Linked DNA regions of Canis lupus familiaris. The protein of the gene in region 1 interacts with the protein of each later gene in a pairwise test. Links are inferred from orthologs where the notes say so. Each region holds a gene or a part of one and is shown in the gene's direction. Other genes may lie near its edges.

Evidence for each region. The genes of interacting proteins can lie anywhere in the genome.
Region 2: the proteins of STK16 (region 1) and RPIA interact in binary tests that used the Homo sapiens proteins (3 or more experiments, as listed by UniProt). The two-hybrid records come from large-scale screens. The link is inferred for Canis lupus familiaris from reciprocal best matches to the Homo sapiens genes STK16 and RPIA.

What each region holds. Positions count from the first base shown.
Region 1 is NC_049258.1:25,666,882-25,674,392, forward strand, and holds STK16 (serine/threonine-protein kinase 16), read left to right. Parts: upstream 1-2,725; 5' UTR 2,726-2,820; intron 2,821-3,122; 5' UTR 3,123-3,226; coding exon 3,227-3,312; intron 3,313-3,901; exon of another isoform or gene 3,902-3,916; coding exon of another isoform or gene 3,917-3,925; intron 3,926-4,120; coding exon 4,121-4,340; intron 4,341-4,604; coding exon 4,605-4,738; intron 4,739-4,912; coding exon 4,913-5,033; intron 5,034-5,160; coding exon 5,161-5,256; intron 5,257-5,676; coding exon 5,677-5,798; intron 5,799-5,913; coding exon 5,914-6,052; 3' UTR 6,053-6,387; downstream 6,388-7,511. Other genes in the region: GLB1L (beta-galactosidase-1-like protein), read right to left, coding at 309-369, 537-687, 933-1,099, 1,275-1,343. UniProt on the Homo sapiens protein: Membrane-associated protein kinase that phosphorylates on serine and threonine residues. In vitro substrates include DRG1, ENO1 and EIF4EBP1. Also autophosphorylates. May be involved in secretory vesicle trafficking or intracellular signaling.
Region 2 is NC_049238.1:38,096,338-38,103,346, reverse strand, and holds part of RPIA (ribose-5-phosphate isomerase), read left to right. Parts: intron 1-1,479; coding exon 1,480-1,544; intron 1,545-2,716; coding exon 2,717-2,785; intron 2,786-3,485; coding exon 3,486-3,627; intron 3,628-5,201; coding exon 5,202-5,301; intron 5,302-7,009. UniProt on the Homo sapiens protein: Catalyzes the reversible conversion of ribose-5-phosphate to ribulose 5-phosphate and participates in the first step of the non-oxidative branch of the pentose phosphate pathway.

The sequences.
Region 1 (7,511 bases):
TTTTTTTCTTGTGTGGTATTTTTACAATTTGCAATAATCTTACAGGTTTTGTTTTGTTTTTTTTTAAAAACAAAAACAAAACAAAAACAACAAACCTGTTTCTTTCCCCATAAGCCCCACTACACAAGGACTGGGTCTGCCCGGTGTCAGTTTGTAGCATCTTGCTAGGCATGAAGGAAACACTCAAATATCTGCATGGATGATCTCCAGTTTGGGGATGGTCTCTTCAGTTTTGAGCACCCAAATGACTCATTGTGTTCCTATCGGTTGCTTTTATTTTCTGTGTTGAAACTTTTGTCTCAGCTCACCTGGATCTGAGGTTCTCAGATTTATTTCAGGTTTTTGAAGCAACCAGGCTGGGAGACCCCCCTGCGACAAACATAAAGACAGCAGGTTTTGTTGTTTGGGAGTGGGGTGGAAGAGGTATGAAGGGAGGATATTGAGTATAGCACTGGAAGTGGCCCTACAGTGTGGGCAGATGGGGGGAGTGAAGGAACTGCACAGGAGTGGCTCTGGTTCTATCCCTTCTAACTCACCATATCCCACTCTGCACAGATGTAAGGTCCTGGTCTCAGTATGACCAACAGGTTCGCTAGAGATGCCTCTTTCAGAAATGCAAAGAGGTCCCGGCTGCCATTAAAATTATAGACCCCAGGCTCTGGCTCATGGTAGTTCCAGGGCACGTAACTGAGAAAGAAAAAGGTTAACAGGGCCCAAGGCGGGAGGTGCTGGAGAGGCCTAAGGGCTCAGGCCTTGCATGGAATCTCCAGGAAGCTGTTGGAAGGAGGTCCTGGCCCACCCTTTCCCACCCTTGGCCTGGAAGCCCTGGAGCTCTCATACCCAGCTAGTCCTCCTGTCCCAATCCCCTTTTGACGGGGGGTGGTAGGAAGAGTAAATCCCACCCTCCATGGCTTGTCCTGAGCACTGCTTACAACTGTACAGTGTTGAGGCCACTCATTCGCATCTTGAAAAGCCGGTCTGCCCAAAGCACCCGTGGTACCCGAAAGTAGTGTAGGCTGCCAGACACGTAGCGGAACGGGGCCCCATCTAGAAGGAATCTGTCATTTATCCGATCCACTATGAACGACCGATTGTCTGCCTGCAAAGAGAGAGCCCGGGGTCAGCAGAGGCCTGGAACAGAGGGAGGGGTCAGAGTCTGCAGAGGAGATGGAACTAGCCCAGCCTGTTGTTCTGTTATTTTCACTTTCTCTCCTGGGCTGGATCTCATCCCGCCTCACCACGCCCAGCCTGCCGATTCAATCCTGTCATTTTACCTGGGGCAGCAGCAGGGACAGAAGTGGCAACAGCAGGACGGGAAGGCAGAGCCGCTTCCTGGGAGCCATGGCGCTAACAGGGCTCCTCTATTCAGAGAGGGCGGTCCGGCTGTCACGTGGTGGATTCCTGGGAGGGAACCTCAGCGAGCAAGGGGGCGGAGACCACCTCAAGTCACCAGGCAATTAGCCTGGACTTGTCCACCCGCGCTACTCTACTAGTTTGTAAGATCCTCTACATCTTGAATCCGCTTCATCAGCATCACCTGGGAGCTTGTTAGAAATGCAGAGTCTCAGGTCCTACCTCAGACCTATTAGAATCAGAATTTGGATTTTAACAAGATTCCCAGGCGATCCGAAAGGCATTCAAGATTGAGAAGCACTGTGGTACTAAACTGAGCTCCCTGAGGGTGAAGAGTACCTTGTCCATCTTGCATCCTCAGCTTCTAGCACGGGACTCGGTACATAGCAGGTTAAATCTAGATGAATGAATGTCGGAACCAGGGGGCTAAAACAGGTTCGGAATCAATCTTCCCAGTGGTGTGAAAGTAGGAACCAAGTTATAAATGGGATTTTTTTTTTTTTCTCCTAGTGGCCCTGCTACAGCAAAAGAGACCACCTCAGCCATTCTGTCTTCTTTGGATGTCCACCGCTCTTCAATTTATCCCTGCCCTGCCTCAGCGAGAGCTGTCAAGAACAACTACCTGGGGCCAAGGCTTGGGAATTTATGAATTTCCATGACTCCTGCCTTCACAATCCCAAGCCTGGGATGTAAGGACCAGGATAAGAAAAATAGAATCATAATAAAAATAACAGCAACTTCTATTTATTGACACCAAGGCTGTGTCAGATAGTGTGCTAAGCACTTTACATCTCACTTCATCTTCAAAAAGCTCCGTGCAGTTGGTAATTATCACTCCCATTTTACCCATGAGGGAATTGAGAGGCAGAAATTTTAAATAGTCTGCTCAAGGTCACGCAGCTAGTTTAGCAGAGCTGGGAGCTGCAGCCTGGCCTCCCCGTACGGGCACCTAACCTTAGGTACTGTTAGAGCTTGTTTACAACTGGGGAAACCGAGGCTCTGAGAGGTTAAGTCGTCCAAGGTCACGCAGCTAGTAAGCTCTTAACCACTGAAACTAGGGTAGTGGGATGCAGGCCTGAGCCCCGAAGGGTGCACCGATCGGCGCTGTGGGGGTCCAGGCCGCCGGCCCCCGCCCGGCCCCCGCCCCTCGGGGCTGGACTGCAGCTTCCTACCTCCGGCATTGGGAGACGGGGGGCCTGGGGGGCCTCGGGCCGAGCCCGGCTTTGCTCCCCTTGGGCGCGGGTGCCTGCGTCCTGCCCACTACTGAAGGCCTGGTGTGGAACCCTCACCGGGTCCCGGGACCCGTGCTCCCCCGCGCCTTAGCCCGCCCCCGGCCTCTCAGCTCCGCGCCCCCACATCCTCCGGATGCCCTGCGGTTGCTAGGATACCGCGGGCCGTTACGCCGGCGCGGCCTGATGACGTAGACGCTCCTTCCGGTCCGCGGCGCTCGTCTCCGGCCGGAGCCAGGTCAGTGGGGAGTCGGGGCCGGCCCTCCCGGGGCTCTGCGCGCCGAGGCCGGGGCGGGCCCCGCCGGGTGGGCCCGGGCCTCGCCCCCACGCTCCGCGGCTGCCGAGGCGGCCCGACGGCGAGGACGCGGCCTGGGCGTCGCGGCGTGGCCCGAGGCTCCAGGGCACCCGACCTCGGCCGTGCCCGAGCCGGCGTCGCCAAGGCTCGTTTCCTCTGCGTTCCGAGGCCCGGGCGCCAGCTCTGCACGTCGGCACTTCGGGGGTCGTGCCTGGCCCACGACCCTGCCGTCCTTTGCCTTCCAGCATGATCCGCGGGGCCCCCAGCGCGTCGCCTGGAAGAGCCCCCTCAGCCCGCACGCGGCCGTCGGCAGCCCCGGACCGCCCCTGAGGAGGATGACTGAGGCGCTATGGGCCACGCGCTGTGTGTCTGCTCCCGGGGAACCGTCCTCATTGACAACAAGCGCTACCTCTTCATCCAGAAACTGGGGGAGGGGTGAGTGTTGAAATCGCCTAGCCAGCCCCCAGGGTTCTGGTGAGTGAAGGACAGCAGTCTGCACGTGATAGGGCCTCAGGAGGTTCATCCTTGTAAAGCATCCTTTAGCTCCCCTGACAGAGCCTAGCAACCCGAATGCCAAGAAAGTGGATTCTGGAGCCAGGCCTCCTGGCTCCACCTGGTGTGACCTTAAGCCGTGGTTTCATCATCTGCTTAATGGAGATAATCATCTTTTTTTTTTTTTTTTTAAGATTTTATTTATTAGAGACACACACACACGCACATGCACAGGCAGAGGGAGAAGCAGGCCCCATGCAGGGAGCCCGATGCGGGACTCGATCCTGGGTCTCCAGGGTCAGGCCCTGGGCTGAAGGCTGCGCTAAACCGCTGGGCCACCCGGGCTGCCCTGGAGATAATTATCTTTTGTCGCTGATGGAGTTGTGAGGATTAAATGAGATAGTGCATAGAAATCATCTCACCAAAAAGAGAAAAAATAATAATAATAATCTCACCCAGGGCCCGGTTCACAGCACTTGACAGATGTTGACTGTTACTTACTCATGTAACATTTCCGGAGCATTTGTCACGTGCAGAGCTGTGCATTATGACCAAGGTACCTCAAAGATTGCTGTGTTCCTACCCTTGAGCTCAAAGTGTAAAATCTTCAGACTTCTCCTGAAGCCACGTCTTGGGAGGGTTTCTGCTGACTGGGAAAGACACCCCCTCCCCTCCCCACCCAGGGAGTTCCTCTGGGTCCAAGCAGTGTGGGAGATGACCGTGGTCCTTCACTGACCCCTTTGGCCCACAGTGGGTTCAGCTATGTGGACCTAGTGGAGGGGTTACATGATGGACACTTCTACGCCCTGAAGCGGATCCTGTGTCACGAGCAGCAGGATCGGGAGGAAGCCCAACGAGAAGCAGACATGCATCGCCTCTTCCATCACCCCAACATCCTCCGCCTTGTGGCTTATTGTCTGAGGGAGCGGGGCACTAAACATGAGGCCTGGCTGCTGCTACCCTTCTTCAAGGTCAGAAAGTCTCCTGGCAATGGAGGGGCTTGCAACAGAGTCATCTACCGAGGGCTGTGTGAGTAGCCAAGCACGTTAGGAAGCAGAGACCATGTCCTGTGTTGGACCGCTTCAGATTTGGGGTTTAGGGGAACCCAAGTGGGACTGTGAGGTGTGTAGTGTGTGTGGTGAAAGAGCTGCTAGGCTGTGACACAGGGAAGGGATCAGGCTGAGGGAGCAGAGACCCAGAAAACCTGTCCAACCGTGGGGAAACTTGTGTTGCAGAGGGGTACGCTGTGGAACGAGATAGAAAGGCTGAAGGACAAAGGCAACTTCTTGACTGAAGATCAAATCCTTCAGCTGCTGCTGGGTATCTGCAGAGGCCTTGAGGCCATTCATGCCAGAGGTTATGCCCACAGGTCAGTGGGAGGGCCCAGTGTGCTTATGGGGCAGAAAGAAAGAGCCTCACCAAAAGGATTGAGTGGTCTCTGCTCTCCTCCCAAGGAACAGTCCCCATGATTCTTTTGCCCCCAGGGATTCTAGTCTCCCTATCCAGGGATGTTCATGGGCCATTTATTTCCACTTTCCTGCAGGGACCTGAAGCCCACCAATATCTTGCTTGGAGATGAGGGGCAGCCAGTTTTAATGGACTTGGGTTCCATGAATCAAGCTTGCATCCATGTGGAAGGCTCCCGCCAGGCTCTGGCCCTGCAGGTAAAAGAGTGTCCAGGTTCCTTTGCCCTCCTGTTCCCCATCCTCAGCCTTTCCTGTTGCATGCCCCAGTTTGGTCACATGACTATGACCTGTGCCTCTCTTTTGAGCTATGGGGCCACTCTTCCAGGACTGGGCAGCCCAGCGATGCACCATCTCCTACCGCGCCCCAGAGCTCTTCTCCGTGCAGAGCCACTGTGTCATTGATGAGCGGACTGATGTCTGGGTGAGGAGCATGTGGGGGGGCACATGGATGGGGAGGAGTACCGCTCTGTACCTGCTGTGCAGCAGAGGGGCAGGTCTTTGGTTTCGATTGCATGGGGCCCCAGGAACCGTGTATGTCCCCATCCCCCTCGACTTCCTTCCTGGGAACCGTCACTGACACTGTACTCAATTGCTCAGGAAGTGGTATCATTCCTCCCTTTGAACAGAATGAGTACAGCTAAGTGTCAGGACTGAAGGCAGTGGCAAGCAGGGGGTGCAGAAGCCTCCAGCTAGCTGGTGCTTTCTCTGGACCCTGGTGGTGTCATGGGGCTGAGGTCAGCCTATTCTTATTAGCTTATGTAGTCACCTTTCACTACAGAGTCCAGAGGAAAGAGATCATTTCTATTGGTCCCTTGTCAAGTAATAACCAAGTTATGTTCAGTCCCTAGGCTGCGTGCTGTATGCCATGATGTTTGGGGAAGGCCCATATGACATGGTGTTCCAGAAGGGTGACAGTGTGGCCCTTGCTGTGCAGAACCAACTCAGCATCCCGCAGAGCCCCAGGTGAGCAATAAAAGGGGTACGAAACACTTCAGACTCCTCACTGGCATTAGTGGAGTTAGAACCGTAGCATGGGGAATGAGGACCCTCCAGTCACCCTGCCCGCCTCCTTCCACAGGCATTCTTCAACCTTGCGGCAGCTGCTGGCCTCAATGATGACTGTAGACCCCCAGGAGCGCCCTCCCATCTCTCTCCTCCTCAGTCAGTTGGAGGCACTGCAACCCCCAGCTTCAGGCCAACATACCACCCAAATCTAAACAGACCAATGGCTACGTTGAGAGGTGGCCCTGTGCCTTGGAAGGAGGCTCTCATCCCTCATTAGAATCTCCACCCGGTGTCTCCAGGACTGCTCTCTTGGCATCGGGGACAAGTGGATGGGAACTGTCAGCTCAGTCTTATTTCTTTGCTTCTACAACAACTGGACAGGGGACTGACTGGGTGTGGACGAGGGTAGGAGATGGGGAAGGGGAAATGGATAGAATCTAGAAAGGCTCTGAGCAGGACTGCTGAGCTTACATCATGGTCTGCCTTCACATCTGGGAGCAGGAGAATGTATAAATAGAAGAATAAAGTGAAAGCAGCTTGGTGTGGATCTTAGTCTCATTGTTCCTGGAATGAAAGAGAAGAGGTGCCCGGGGCCCAGGGTCTGGTTGCCATTTCCAAGGGAACCGCTTGGGAAGAGGGACTGGCCTAATGAGGAATGGCATGACTTCGCCATTCTGCCTAAGGAGGCAGGTGTCCCTACCTTAGATCTGACTAGCTGGGAGGAGTCAGTTGTCCTAGCTTGTCTTAGTCAAAAACTTAAAGCTCTTCTGGATCGAGCTGGCTTCTCTGCTAAGAAGTAGGACCAGGGCCCCCTAGAAGCACATTGAATTTGTTCTTCCCTTCATTCCCAGGAGTGGGTAGCTGAGTCAAAGCAGCCCAGCCGGTTTGCCAGGCTAGGGCTTCTGGGTGGAGACACCTGAGGAAGCTTCCTGACAGCAACTTAACAGGTCTCTCCCAGCCTCGGCCTGGGGGCAAGGGGAGTGGAGGTGGCAGCCATTTGGCCCAGTCTGTCCCAGAGGGTTCTAGCTCACACACGGTTAATGATTAATGAGGCCAGTGTGGTGCAGCAGTATCCAGCTGCCACTTCCTGCCCTACTCTGCTGAGTAAACAGGGGCCCTGCCTTTGCCGGGCTTGAAACCTGTTCCCTAGGGAAGGGCACTGCGTCCCTGAATCACCAGGGAGGGGAACGCAGGGGCAGGGCTGGCATCACCTGCTCCTGAGATTGAAGCTTCCTCCCCGACTGCCCCCACCCCAGCAGTGTGCACCCCCACGTGCTGACGTCGATATGGGTCCTGGGGTGCCTATTAGCAATGCTGGAATCTTCCCCAGGGCCCGGCGGGAGGCTCCCCAGGCTAGCATAGAGGCTGAGGCCAGAAATAAAGAACAAACAGAGGGGAGACGACCTGACTTTTAATGGCACAGCCCTAGGCCCCAGCAATGCAGCGAGAGAGACAGCTGTGGGAAGCTGCTCAGAGGTGCGGCGACACAAACAACTTGAGGAGATTGCCCTCGTCCCCTCCCATCCCCCAAGCTCATGACTAGGCTCCATGCCCAGGAATTGTGGGCCTGCCCAGCCCCGCTCCCAAGCCCTCATCACGCACAGAGGTGCCCGGGCCAAGCTTCCAGAGTCGGTGAATGCAGCAGCAGCAGGAAGAAACGGGCTAGCAATC
Region 2 (7,009 bases), on another chromosome or scaffold:
TGAAAAAGACAGAGAGGGCAAGTCATTTGTCAAAGCCACGCTTTCTGTAATTGGTAGAGCCTGAATATGAATTCAGATGCTTTTGGCTCTAGAGCAGTGCTACTAGGTTTTGTGGGGAGAGGTGAAGTTTGAGCAGAACTGTGAAGGCAGGGTGGCCATGGCAGGAGAGAGCATTCCAGAGAGGAGTAGATGAGAACCAGGGGCATTGGGCATATGTGGATAACCCCCAGGCTGGCTGGAGTGGTAAGGACCGAGTGAGTGGTATGCATTGGTGCATGGTGGGAGAGGAGAGGCTGGACTGGAAGAGTGGAAAGGGGTTATGGCAGCTTGAGAACCAGACTGCAGATGGGGACCCGATGGTCTACTAGTCTGTGTTGTCCTGGTACACGTGGGCCTTAGAGAGTTTAGTAAGAACCATGGGAAGGGCTCACTGGGGGATTTCTGTGGGCAGAGCCAGGGCAGAGTGTGAGTCAGTGTTCAGCACTGTGAGAAGAGTGGTTTGGGCTGAAGGTAGGCCTGGAACTCACACAAAGAAGGTTGCAGCCTTCCAGGCCCCAAGAGTTGCCATGATGTAGCCTGGCCCTGGGGTTAGCGCAGGGTGTGGAGAAGCAGTATAGCCTCTCTTTTCAGACAAAGAGCAGAATCTGAAAGCATGGAAACAAGGTGAAGCTGAAGCTTTGTGCACTTTATACTTGTGCCATGCCAGGCAGCTTAAACTGACTTGTACCCTGAGGTTTCTTCATACAGCTGCTTTAAATAACCATACTTAAGACTCCCACACTGTCTACTTGGAGTCCAGGAGTGTCACGAAATACTTAGCTTCCTTGATTTCAGATCTTGAAAGATGAATGAACCCACCTGCCCCTGACTGCTCCTGGGGTTGGTGGTAGAATTTCCTAATAGTGGGAGTGGGCATGCCCGGACAGGTGCTTTGGCGGGGTCATAGTCAGGGTGCCTCAGATAATTTCCAATTGCAGATCAAATGTGTGTCAGCTTTATAACTCTTCATTGGGTTTTCTCTCTGTGCTGGAAACTGCCTTTCTTTTTGCCACTTTAGCATGGAGACTTCTGAATCAGTGTTTCTCGGCCTTTTTTCTGTTGCCCCCCTCCAGTGAAATTTTAATACCACAGGTATACTGTGTATCTTTTCTGTACTTGGGGGTGATGTCACCCACATTGGGATTGTGTACTCTTAATAATTCTAGCTCATCCACAGAGATGCCTATCAATGAGAAAAGGGAGTGTAATGTGGGTAAGAACTAGACCCATGTGTGGCTTCCAGGCTCCATATTTAGTGGACCTTAGTGGAATAGCTTAACCTCTCAGAGCCTGTTTTTTGACTGATTAAATGGGAATAACTCTACCTAACTAATAGGGCTGCTGAGGATCTGATGAGTTATTACATGTTCAAGCTTTGCACAGAGCCTCCCCTCTAATGGCTCTCAGTAGTTTCTGTATCTTTCTTCTCTCCTCCCACAGATTGACCTCGCAATTGATGGTGCTGATGAAGTAGATGCTGATCTCAATCTCATCAAGGGTGGTGGGTGAGTGTTGTGGGGACTTTCTTGCTGAGGAGTATCTGCCAGTTAATCCTTAGCAAAGCAAGGTGGAAGACAGAATAAACAAATGGCCACTGTGATGTATGTGAGCTTGTCTTTTTTCTAGGAAGTTGATGGTTGTTAGAGCCAGTTTGGCATTTCTAGTTATGAGTAGCAGTCTGCTGACCAGGAACCTGGGTCTCTTCAGTGAGATTATTCATCTTACTGAGTTCTCTGTATCTGCATTCTTCTGCTGAATCAAATTTTAATAACTGTATGAATTAAACCAGATATATTGTTGGGGTAGATTATTAGGTCTGTGGGAATTAGTGTGTGATCTTTGCTTAAAGCTGCTCTTAACCTCTGTGAGCAGTTAGTTGTACATGTATTTATTCACTTGGAAAACATTTATTGAGTATTTCTTAAATGTTGATTTGGGGGTAGGGAATGGTGGATTGAAGAAGGCCAAGTCCTGCTCCGCTATTGTAATTAAGCAGACTGCAATGACACAACATGTTTAGAATCATACCGTACACTCTGCTTCATCACCCCAACTGTCAAATAGTAGATAGGAAAGGTTGTTCAAAGCTTGTCCTTCTTAAGTTATAGACCCTTCCATTCATGCCATGCTCAGATGACTTTTCCTTGAGCACAGATATATTTTAGATAGGAGTATGCCTGGCCTGACTGGGATCCATTTCTCCCAGACATAGGCTCATTTACCAGAAGCAACATGTCTTAGCTCAGGCTGCCTTAACAAAATGCTGTAGTCTGGGTGGCTTCAGCAACAAGTAATTTTTAAGAATTCTGGAGACTTCTGGCTTGAGTTGGCTGCCTTATTATCATTGTGCCCTCAGGGTGGAGAGAGAGCAAGTGAGCTCTCTGGTGTCTGTTCTGTTAAGGACATTAATCCTATCAGACCAGACTCCTCCACCCCTCCAAACACTTTTAACCATAATTACTTCTTAAAGTAATGTGCACTTGGGAGTTATGGCTTCAATATATGGAATTGGGAAGGACACAGTTTAGTCCATTGCCCAGCATGATGGAGTTGAGGATCTTTAAAAATTATAAATTCAATTTATCATTAAGTAGATTTGGGTTTCCTGTATCTGACCTTAGTTTTCAAATTGAGTTTGTGTCCGACCCTGTATTCACTTGCCTCTTCCCATCCCCAGAGGCTGTCTGACCCAAGAGAAAATTGTGGCCGGCTATGCCAGTCGCTTCATCGTGATCGCCGACTTCAGGTACAATGTTGAGTGTTCTGAGCTGTCCACTGGGGGCGGAGGTAGATCACACCCCAACCTCATCCCCATTTTATAGAGGAGGATAGAGAAATGGAGGGGCTGTCTGGCTTTCTGAGACTGATGGCTAAGACTGAGGGAGTGTCTTGAAGGATTTTGTTCCATTTTCATACTGAAGGTACATATTGCTATGTTTTGTGTCCATTGGAAGGAGGAGGAAATAGCTTGTCACTCTTGTGACAAGAGCATGTCCTCATATATCACTCATTTGATCCTTGTAGGAAGGACAGGCCCTGCCCACGGGCAGTGACTCAGCATGTTCTGCTTCCTCTGGACACATAAATGTGTTGTGCAGAGTCTCTGACCAGGCTCTCAGATTCTCCTTCAAGGAGTCTGGTAGATGGTGCTTATGCTGAGCATGTTAATTTAAAAAAAAATTGTATTGACTTACAAGATATTATTACTGTAGAAAGAACATAAATAATAAACACCTGGATAGCCACAAGCTAGTCATAACCAGTTTTAACATTTTTAAAAGTCATACTTATTTGAAATACCTAATTTCTTAACTAGTAAAACAGCTCAAACATTAGCAGCCCGGTGTGTTTCCCTGCTCTCTGCCCACTTACTACGTCTGAATTTGGTGTTTGTCTATACCATTGAGCTTATTTATATTTATTGTACTTTCTGACTTTCTTTCCAGGAAAGATTCAAAGAATCTCGGGGATCAGTGGCACAAGGGAATCCCCATTGAGGTCATCCCAATGGCCTATGTTCCTGTGAGCCGAGCTGTGACCCAGAAGTTTGGGGGCGTGATTGAACTTCGGATGGCTATCAACAAGGCAGTAAGTGGTCAGGGAGGTTTCTCAAGGGCATTCTAGCTTCTTGATGTGGTGTCCTCCTTTTTGTTTCAGTTAGGTCCCTCTGAGTATAGCCTGGGTAGTCAGCTTTTATTTATTTTTATTCAGATTATTGGTTTATTTTTAGAGTACTAGCTTTATTAGTTCCTATATTCAAACTCGTGTAGATGATATGACACTTAATGCAGTGCATATTCTCTGTACAAGTGAGGAATTGATTCTTTTTCTTGGTCCCTTGGGGTCTTATGGTCCTCAGGTGATTGGATCTTTGTACCTTGTGGTCTGGACCACCGTGCTTCCCAGTGGCTAAAAATGGCTTTGGGAGGCACCCCAGGGCAGGAAGTTTTCCAGGTTCCATGGTATAATTTTCCTTTTCTCCTCTTACTTCATTCTGTGACAAGAAGTAGAATTTCCTGGGGGATATGAACTCTTCCTTAGGAATACGCTTTGGAAACTTAGTGCAAATGTTTCTCTTCTACTTCTAAAGTGGGCTGCACAGAACTTTTTTTTCCTCTTACACTTAAATAAACAAGCAAAAGTAATAACCCAAAAGCTAACTGTATTTATAGACATGACTTTATAACAGGTTTAGAAGATACAGAAGAGAAAACAGATTATCTGTGACTTTACCCTGATGCATTTTTATGTTGATTTTTTTTTCCTAGCGTTTTTCTGATGTTTTAAAAATCAGTCCTAATTCTAGTGGTTATGCAGAGCTCTGGGTCTAGTTCCCTCTGTAGCTGAGAGGTTCGGAGGAGACTGTTGGAGAAGGGGGTTCTCTCTCATGGCTGGGGTGACTCCAGACAGGAACCCAGCATCCTGCCTTCTTGGGGCTCTTCACTGATCTCCCATCCCCTCACCTCCAACCTGCAGGAGCAGCCTAGTTTCCTTGCCTGTGACTGTAGTGCTCTGTCCACATTTGTGGTCCCAAATGCCTACTAGTGCCCAAAGCTGTGGAGGAATTTTGGGTTAATTATCTAAAACTACCCTCTGCTCTTTTTTGGAGCCCAGAACACGTCTCTGCTTCCTGTTTTGGTGGGACTGCCTGCGAGGTGAAGTGATGGGTGCAATAGCACTGCCTTATTTTTTACTGGGCACCTAATGTGAAGCAGTGAGAATGTCCATGTGGATAGTCTGCTTCTGTTGTTCTAGTTTTTCATTCTAGTAATAGCCAATTGGCTATTATTAGCCAATTAGTGAACCCGTCCTATGAGCCCTCACTGTGGTAAGTGCTTACCCCTATGGTTTATACATAAACTGCTTTCTCAAGTATGTATCATTATCCTCTTTTTGTAGTTGAGGAATCTGAGGCTCACAGAAGTTAATAGCTTCTCTGAGCCTCCTCTATACCTATGTGGCTTCAAGACTCAAATTTTGATGCCAGAGTTCCTGCTCATTACTTCTTCATAGCACTGCCTTCTAGAAAGCAGGAGGTGGGGTACTGGCTGGAGCAGGTTAATTAAGATACTTGTCTGTGGGCATCCCCTTCACTTTCTTGCCCCTCTCTCTGCCTACCTGTATTTATAACTTCTGTAAATGTGGAAAATCATACCTTCTAGGGTCCCGTGGTGACGGATAATGGGAATTTTATCCTGGACTGGAAGTTCGATCGGGTGCACAAGTGGAGTGAAGTAAACACAGCTATCAAAATGATCCCAGGTAAATGTGATCCCAGTAGTGTTCATTGAGAATAGACACCCAAGCACTTTGTAACTGTCCCCTGCCTCTGGCCATAGGAGGCACAGTGGGTGTGGGTTTTGTAAGACTTGGTTAGAAAGAAGAATTTCCTTTGTGCTATGCTTGGAGTTTCTGACTTCATGCCTTTGATTCCTCCCCAGCCCCCAATAGTTATTGCTTACCTAGCAGCTTTTGGTTGTGCATTTACAACCCATTTTAGTTGGGAGAGGCCTAGAGCTGATGGAGTATCAGAGGGGATTTGCCTTAAAATAAGCTCACCCTCTCTGCATAGAGCTTTCCCTTACAGAAGCTTAACTATAGCCTCTTTCATTTCAAGAAGTAGGCTGTCTTCTTGAGCAGTGGGGAATAATGACTGTTCACCCACACTCATTAGATATGTACCACAGGCCAGTGCCTGTGCCACATGTTACAGGAAATGCTCCATCTATAGAACTTGGAATCTGACTCGAGGAGAGTTCACATATACCTAGGGAGAGTGTGCATGGCTATGTAGAAGCCATACCTACAAATAAGATGGAATGCTAAATTTGCTAGAGAAATACCAAGAGTCTAGAGTGCATATAGGTTGCTTCCTTTGGAGAGTGTGTGAGAAAGTTAAGGAAGAGAGGTGGCTTTTGATCTATGCTTTGGCATAGTGTAATCTAGACATTGCATTAAGTGTTTAAAAATGTCTTATTTGATTGTCCAGTTGGATGAGATAGTTATAAAGGAGAACATGGATCATGGAAGATTACATGACTTGCCCAAGGGCTACAGTGCCAAGAGGGAGTCCTTATTTCCTTGAGTTGAGGAGGGGTGGTATGGCATGAACATTTGGGGTGGGAGAGCCTCTAATGCTAATAGTAGGGGTCTGGGGCCGTGGGTGAGGCTGGGTGGGCAGTGTAGAGGTGAGTCAGGCATCCAGGCCAGAGGAGGTATCAAAGGTCCATGCAAGGAGATTGGATGGAGGGAGCAGATGTGAGAGACATTAGTCTTACGATTTTGAGAGACAAAGACTGACTGGGAATAGTCCATGGCATAGAATATTCTTGGGCCAGAACAAGCTAATGGGGCAGGTAAGATCAGTTTAGCAGATTGTAGTGGCTAATAGTAAAAGAGCAGACTGCCTGATGGGGTTCCTAACCCAGCCTCACTCTGCCAGTGTGAATTTTGTGCAGTTATGTCTTTGTGACTCAGTTTCTTCCTCTGTGAAAGAAGCTAACACAAGTGCCTACTTCATAGGATTTTTGGATTAAATGAGTTAAAATGATGCCTAGCACATAAAGGAGTGTTTGTTGAATGAACACATCCCTAGGAAGAAAGGATAGTATTGTTAAATATGCTAGATTCTAAGTAATCCATGCTATTTAGGAATGAAAATGATGTGACTATATGCCATGTAATAAGCTAATTCTTCCAACCTTACTGTAAATTTAGTCTGCTCTTTTCCTTTGACTGACAGTCTTGGAGCAGATTTATTAAGCAAAAAAGAAGAGTTGTATTAGGCTTTTTCTCTCAGTACTCTCATTTAGTAGAAGTAATGAGCCAAGAGGGCAAGAGGAAGAGAAGATGTAGAGGTTACCATAAGCAGATGGAAACATTTGCCCCTAACGATAATGCAGATAGACCAGGGGATTGCATAGGAGCAGCTCACCAGTGGGGGCTTGATTTCTCTGGAGGTGGATTTCTT